2 linked regions of the Neurospora crassa OR74A genome follow. The protein of the gene in region 1 interacts with the protein of each later gene in a pairwise test. Links are inferred from orthologs where the notes say so. Each region holds a gene or a part of one and is shown on either strand. Other genes may lie near its edges.

Evidence for each region.
Region 2: the proteins of cac-1 (region 1) and pcn interact in binary tests that used the Schizosaccharomyces pombe proteins (3 or more experiments, as listed by UniProt). The link is inferred for Neurospora crassa OR74A from reciprocal best matches to the Schizosaccharomyces pombe genes pcf1 and pcn1.

What each region holds. Positions count from the first base shown.
Region 1 is NC_026505.1:5,173,079-5,177,446, reverse strand, and holds the start of cac-1 (chromatin assembly-1 protein), read left to right. Parts: upstream 1-1,386; 5' UTR 1,387-2,002; coding exon 2,003-2,111; intron 2,112-2,179; coding exon 2,180-3,553; intron 3,554-3,613; coding exon 3,614-4,209; 3' UTR 4,210-4,368. Other genes in the region: NCU04199 (hypothetical protein), read left to right, coding at 1-155. UniProt on the Schizosaccharomyces pombe protein: Acts as a component of the histone chaperone complex chromatin assembly factor 1 (CAF-1), which assembles histone octamers onto DNA during replication and repair.
Region 2 is NC_026501.1:9,447,020-9,450,657, forward strand, and holds pcn (proliferating cell nuclear antigen), read left to right. Parts: upstream 1-1,375; 5' UTR 1,376-1,611; intron 1,612-1,732; 5' UTR 1,733-1,734; coding exon 1,735-1,776; intron 1,777-1,872; coding exon 1,873-2,592; intron 2,593-2,665; coding exon 2,666-2,683; 3' UTR 2,684-3,038; downstream 3,039-3,638. Other genes in the region: NCU09240 (hypothetical protein), read left to right, coding at 1-674.

The sequences.
Region 1 (4,368 bases):
CAACCAACAGCTTACTCAACGCCACTCTGACGCGCGAGAAGAGTGTTAAGAACCCCGAGGAGCTCAAGAGGAGAGGAAGCGTGGACGAAAGGACATATGAGAGGACAATGACATTCAACTCGTCCGGTCGCTTGTTCATCGCCAACCCTGATTAAAGCAAGCAGAATCGGGAGCGGATCGAAGAAGGAGATTTTTACTACGTCGGGTTTTGGGCTTTCCAAACAGCCGGAACCTGTGATACACAGCATGGGAATTTGTGCCTGAAACTACATGCATAGCTAGGCGCATGGGTGTTTGCGTTTTGTTCTTCTTTTTAAATCTTTTCTTTTTTTTTTTTCCAAAGGGAAAAGGTTGTCAGGCACGGGCACGGTCACTGTCTCGAATGCACTGCACAACACCACAGGTCGTTCGATGGTAGCCAATTATTGCTTGGATAGGGTTATTCGGAAAAATAATACTTTGCTTTGGGACACACACACACACACACACACACATCCTTGAGATACCATTGAATGCGATCTGGTTTTTGTTTTACATTTTCCGATGAGACGTACATACACGCTACAACAACTATGCGATATGTGACAAGCATCAACTTAGTTGTCATCCTTACGGCGTCTACACTGCCGATCCTGTTTGGAGCGCTTAACGCTTACCATACAAGCTCATTAAGTCATGGTATAATAGAACGGTTTACTAATTTCTTGGTTTTCCAACGGCCTCTGATCCAAGTTTCTAAATGGGCCAAAGCCGGTAGTTCCGTCCCTACAGCCATATAATAAGGCCAGCTATAGGTAGAGCTATGGTCACACCCTTTGGAGAACTTGGCCCCATAACACGCGCTGTTATAGGAGAATCGGGAAGCTGGGAAGAGGATGACGAAAGGACAAGACACAGGACGGAACCCATGGCAGCCTTCAATGCACCACGCCTAAAGTCAAGCCACACACGACGAGACTATCTACCTAAGGTGAAACCTTGCCACGTTCACTTTTTCTTGGCCTTTGCAACTGAACTGAGTTGAACCTGCACGCAGGATGGGAAGAGTTCAGGGTTAGGGCTGGTATTAGTGATGCCATGATGCCCGAGATGGAAATTGACTGTACTACCTCTACTGCCTGAAAGTTGAAGACAGGCAGCCATTTTGCAGGCAAATGATAGTTGAGATGAAATCCACGAGGTCAGTCATTGTAGGGTTTCGAAGTCGTACATGAACAACAACCGTGGAAGTTCATGATCACTAACAGGCAGGTATATCAATGGTCCACCAATCCCTTTCCAAGCATCGAACAACAGCAGCAAAGATCACTCCACTCACCACTGAACCTGCAATCAATGCCAGTGAAACATACCCGACTTGGTACCTACATTGAACTCATTGATCCACGGTTATCGATTGTTCGAACATCTGCCGTAGTTCCAGCCACAGCGACTTTAATTGAATGAAAGCAGCAAAGCCACACACCCCTCTCAAGAACTGACGCGAAATCACGCTCCGCTTCTCGTAGATTAGAAGTGGGGCACTTTAAGGCGCGGGTAGGGATCCACTTGGGCTAAATTGAACGGAAGGCGCGACGGTGGGTGTCGCCAAACGCGTCCCGCTCAGGCGGCAGCAACCGCGGACCAGGCACTCCAGTCACTGCAGAACCCAAGAATCACCAATCGGTTTCAGGCCTTTCAACTCACCCAACGACGGACCATCCGAAGAACCACCGACGGCGACATCTCGACCTTCCCGGCCTTCTCAGCAGCTGGTTCCGTTCCCATCAGCCAAACAAACGCTTTTACGACGCCGGGGAGTAACCAGCAGTGGTTCATTGCTTTTACACCGCCAGCGCATGTACGACTGGCCTAATTGTGGGACCTGGACCTTGTCTGTTCTGAACTTTGGACCCCTCAACTTCGATCGACCATTTTCAGACTAGATCGCGTCGGTTTGGACCGTGAATAGCACGCGTCAACCAAACAACCAAGTAGGACTGCTGGGGAAGGCAACACCACCATGCCTTTGTTCACAACTACCACAAGTGGACAGGAGGACTCCTCCTGTCTCAAGAGGTCACACGACCAATTCCGGGAAGAGGTTCCACCCCCAAGTTCTTTCGACGACAGTAAGTACCGCGTTCTGACATCAGCCCACGCCCCAGACGCGAGTGAAGCTAATCGCCAATCTCTACAGAGGAAAATGTTAGGTCATCACCGCCCCCATCTTCGGGGCCCGCAACCCCCAGAGCCAGAAAAGCCAGTCCTGCATTGAGCGACGCCAGCAGCCCATTGGACCGTCTATCGCGATCCCCGAGTCTATCGCCCCCACGACTCGCACCTCTCACGATTTCTACAACCAATACGCCTTCTACCCAGAAGCAGACATCCGGCGCCAAGGCTGCGTCGACAACGACAAAGTCGACAACAGGCGAACCGGCCGTCAAGAGGAAGAAGCTGACCCCTGAGGAGAAGGCAGCCAAGGCCGAGGCTGACGCTGCCAAGAAGAAGGAGAAAGAGGAGGCCAAGGCCAAAAGGGCAGCGGAACAGGCGAAACTGGAGGCAGAGAAGCAACAAAAGGCCGAAGAAAAGGAGAGGAAGAAGCGTGAGAAGGAAGAGGAACTGAAACGCAAGGAGGAGGAGAAGAAGCGAAAGCAGGAAGAGAAGGAAGAGAAGGAGCGCAAGAAACGCGAGAAGGAGGAAGAGGAAGCCAAAAAGAGAGGCCGACAGATGAAGCTCACATCGCTCTTCAAAATCAACCCAGCAACACCAAAAGAGAAGCCAGTTGCCGTCAAGGTCGAAAGCAAAGATGTCGAAATGACGGATGCACCGAGTCTCGCCAAGGAGAATGAAGCCTACCGGAGGTTATTCAAGCCCTTTTACGTGAAGGAGTTTGTCACGCTAGCCAAGAACCCCTTCGAGGTAGACGAGGAGACCAGAGAGGCCAAGTCGCGGATACTGGACGAGTACACCGAGGGAAAGCGGGCGGAGTTCCAGACACCGGAAAAGTTTGACCCCTTGGAGGCTCTACAGCTGCCTTTCAAGACCCAGAGGCGCGGACGCCCATATCCGAGTGTGCGCAAGATCATGACGGAGATTTATGGAGAGTCTTCAAGCAGGGCTATGGACCTCACCACAGAGAACACTCAGTTCAGAGATGCGCGGGAGGCATTGAAAGCGGTACCAGTCAAGTGCATCAAATTCAGCCAAGATGTGCGGCCACCGTATGTCGGTACAATCAGTGGTCTTCCTCCGGGCGTCAAGAGTCTCTATAAACTCGCAAGAAACCCAACTTCACGAACCATCCTTCCCTTGGACTACGACTATGATTCGGAGGCCGAGTGGCAAGACGAGGAAGGCGAAGATGTGGAGGATCTGGATGATGAAGAGGAAGACTTGGAGATGGATGAGGACATGGACGACTTCTTGGATGACTCCGAAGATGTCGGCCCTCAGCGTCTCGTCTTTTCCGGCGGTATGGAGCCAGAGAGCACTGGCATATGCTGGGAGAATGAGAAGCGGTGCACAGTGAAGCCAGAGCTGTACCAGTGCCGGATGGAGATTATATTGGGTACGTTCCTCTGGAGATATTATTGCTGTTTGAATGATGCTGACCTTTTGTCGGTTGCAGAGTCCCTGGACGAAGAAACCAGCATTGACCCCTTTTCGACTGATTATTGGGCTTCGAAGTCGAAGACCAGCTCATCAGGTAACGAAAAATCTAGTGTGATCGCATCCGCATCCGTCACTGCTCAGACTACTTCATCATCCTCATCCTCACTCCTCCATCCATCCTCTGCCGCTACCACCACCAGTTCGAAATCTGCCAAGGCTGGTGGCTCTCAAGCACCAACCAATGCGTTCCAGGCACTTACAAAGGGTACTACAGCAGGTAACTCTCCTCCTAACAAGGCTATCACTACTGCAGGCGCCTCAACTATTGTTGCTGCTGCCACTACTGCTGCTCCCTCAGCGACAGCACCAGGTGGCGTTGTTGGTGGTGGGCGTCGACCTCCCGGTCGACAGAAGATGTCGGACCAACCCCTCCCTGCCGCTGCGCAAGAACAGCTCAAGGCGCTCATGCATGAGATGCCCATGGTTAGCAAATTGGGTATCATCGAGGTCTTTGCTTCTAAGCACCCGGATATGGTCCGGGCGCAGATCAAGGCTTCGTTTGAGTCCATGACTGAGAAGCAAGGAAAGAGTGGTTGGAAGTGGAAGGAGTAGCGGTCTTTTTCTCTACATCCTAAAGGTCGATGGAGTTCATGTGGATTCGAGTAACTGTGTGAGTATATACCTAAGCATTTCTGCACAAGTTGGACGTACTTATATTCAAGGGAGGGGAATGCATCGCATGCTCATGGTCTCACCATGGAGGGCAAACGA
Region 2 (3,638 bases), on another chromosome or scaffold:
TCCCTCTTTCGCCCAACCGCGAGAAACGCCGAACGCAATTCCGCAAGCTCGACTCTCTATCGACGGGCATCCGCGGTCTCCAAGCCAAGCTGGCACTATTGCGTGAAGAATCCGAGAAAGCACTCAACGAAGCCGACGACATCTCTGAAGTTGGTTTCGACCTCCTGTCGCAATACGAGTCCATTGGCCAAGACCTCAAGATGCTGCAGCAAGCCTGGGAGGATGGCAAGGCTGCCCTAGCATCGGGAATCGACCGCAACGAGAAACGTATTTCGTCTATGAGCATGCTGTACTCGCCTGCTACCTCTCTAAGCGGGTTGACCACTGTCGGCGAAGAGAACGAAACCGGCGGCGGAGCGGAGGATGCGCTGAAAGCGCTCACCGGGGAGACGTCTCCCACACGAAACTCCTCGCCAAGTCCCAACGAGCCGGATGTGTTTGAGGCGGTTGCGCTATCGGCTCGGCCCAGGAGTATGCTGACCAGGGAAGAGAGATTGGTGAAAATGAAAGAGGAGAGAGAGATGAGGGCAATGCAGAGAGAGAAGGCGGAAGCGAGTAGGGGCATGTTGAAGGAGTTGGAGATGGTGATTAATCTGAGGCCGAAGAGACATACAACCATGGGACCAGGCGGGGGAAACGGCAGGAGTGCGGCGCCGACGAGGATTTCTTTATGACGACAGACAAACTCTGCGGCATTCGCGCTGTCTTTCTTTCGGGTTTCTTTTCTTTGACCACTATAATCTTACATGGCATCAAGGCATTGCGCGCAGACAAAAGAGAGGGGCGAACAACAACGACGAGAAGGTCAGCTTGCCAGTTTTCTTGAAAAGCAACAACAGCAACAACAACAACAACTTTGGGTAGAATGGCGTTTTGACGGACATACAGACCATGGGAACATTTGAAAGCTGGGGCAGGCAAGCGAGCAATGTGGGACACAGAATTTAACGGCGTTTACACAGTTTATACAGACGATCTTGGGCGGGCATTCTGTAACAAATTCTTTTTTGAGTTGGGGGAGGGTGTAAGATAGGTGAAATAATGTAATAATCAAAATATATTGGAGAATGGAGGTAGAACAGAGTTCGCGCAGAAATGAGGGAGTCGAATAGTTGAAGTCATATCATCGGAACTTGAAGTGAGCAGCATACCTTTGGTTCGACATTGCCGTCGAGACACGATCCAAACAGAAAGAGGGGATTCAGGGCGACAGCTCCCACTGAAAACGCGAAGATTGCGCCTGAAAGCGGACTAACAGCGCTGGAGAACGGGACCGTGCACCGGGAGCTAGCCTGAAGCGGTAAATCAATTAAGCCTAACCCCGGCTCAGCGCGTTTAGCTGCCATTAGCAGGCGCGTCAAGTCGCGAAGTGGGTGTCCCGGCACCACCTGTGGTATTGGTGGTTCCTCTCTTTTTATCGTCCATTGCCTGCCTGTTGCAGCTTTTTGAACAAAACCATAACTCTTCCCAAATCCAAATCTTTTCTTCTCTCTTCTTTCTTCGTCAAACCACGAGCGCCTCTCTCTCCCGAAAGTGATACCCAGCGCGCGCATATTTTCTTCCCTCTTTGTCTTTTTTTCCCCCGTCGAGTTCGGTAATTCACATCCATCAGTATGTCGTCTCTGTCTGAGCGTGAAGCTGCCTGCTCGCTTGCTCGCTGGCCCGGCACTAGGAAGAAAAGCTGGAGAACTGGAGTGATGGGTTGCTGACTGGAGGACTACCACAACAACAGAAATGCTTGAAGCACGGTTGGAGCAGGCGTCGATCCTGAAGAAGGTATGTCATGTCCTCTTCCTGTCAAGTGCTGTCTGTTTCCTTTCCCAGCTAGAAGACCCCCACTAACTCTGTCATGATGATGACGATGATGTCCAGGTCGTCGACGCCATCAAGGACCTCGTGCAGGACTGCAACTTCGACTGCAACGACTCGGGCATCGCCCTGCAAGCCATGGACAACTCGCACGTCGCGCTCGTGTCCATGATGCTCAAGACGGAGACCTTCTCGCCCTTCCGGTGCGACCGCAACATTGCGCTCGGCGTCAACCTGACGTCGCTGACCAAGGTGCTCCGCGCCGCCCAGAACGAGGACATCCTGACGCTCAAGGCCGAGGACGCGCCCGACGTGCTCAACCTCGTCTTCGAATCTTCCGAAAACGACCGTATCTCCGAGTACGACCTCAAGCTCATGGACATTGACCAGGAGCACCTGGGCATTCCGGATACCGAGTACGCGGCCACCATCAGCATGCCGTCTTCTGAGTTTAAGCGCATCACCACCGACCTCATGGCCATGAGCGAGAGCGTCAACATTGAGGCGAGCAAGGACGGCGTCAAGTTTAGCTGCCAGGGCGACATTGGCAACGGCAGCATTACCCTCCGCCAGCACACCAACGTTGATAAGCCCAGCGAGAATATCGAGATTGAGTTGAGCGAGCCGGTTTCCCTCACGTTCTCGCTCAAGTACCTGGTCAACTTTTGCAAGGCGAGCGCGCTGTCGAGCACGGTCAAGATCTGCCTCTCCAACGAGGTGCCCCTTTTGGTCGAGTACAACATTTCGGCTAGCAGCTACTTGAGGTTCTATCTTGCGCCCAAGGTATGTCTTTGTTTGTCATTTTCTGGGTGGTTGTTTTCTGTCAGGCGTGATGCTAACTGGTTCTGATTCACAGATTGGCGACGAGGAGTAAACGCCCCATTTACCTCCAACAACCGAACCACATCTTTGTTACGAACACCACGAAACTATGCCTTCATGTATACCTCGAGTTGCTATAAAATCATGGGGAGGAGGAGAATTGCAAGTCATGTAGAAGATAAGGGGTGATGCAGTGATGAGAAGAAGAAAAGGGATATGAAGAAAAAGAAATCTGTGTTTTTGAAAGAGTCTGGCACTAGTACACTACACACAAATGTTTTAGAGGGCGTTTTGTTCTTTCTGCTGCGAAGATGAATGTTTAGGGGAGACGACGAGGTGTCAATGATTATTGCGATGGCCTCCAACAACACACCTTCACCAAGGAACCCGATGCTGTTGTCGTTTCCTTTTTTTTTTTTTTTTTTTTTTTTTTTTTTGTCTGATGGTTTCTAACATTGATATCGGCAAACTGTCCTCCCTGTATCACTATGGTAATCATCGCTTCTCGGGAGTTCAGCTTGGCGTTGAAAGTAGGTATCTCAGAAGTGGGTTCAATCACAAGTACACCAGTACTGACATCACCACTTCCCGTCAGTCGGCGTGTTTTCCAGAAATCTTCCACCCGACTGTTTTTTTTTTTTTTTTTTTTTTTTTTTTTTTTTTTTTTTTTTTTTTTTTTTTTTTTCATCCGATGAAGTTCCTGGTGTTCACCAGCTTCCCCACATTGTTCATTCAATGTATGTAACTTACCTACCCACCACCTGCGTGACGTCCCCTCCCGCCTACAACAGCCCAGGGCCCGGGGCGCGCCCAGCAGCTGAATGGACTCCGCATTCAAGTTGCCCCTAACCCGCCCTGCAGGAAACTTTTTGGCGGGGCATGGGTGGTTCCTGGGGAAAAAAAAAAGAGTCATTGACTGGCCGGCCCTGTGCCATGACCGTTAGCGGCGAATTTCTGGACCATTCGAGGACTCGAATCAAGATGTGGGCAAATGGGTGGCACGAGAG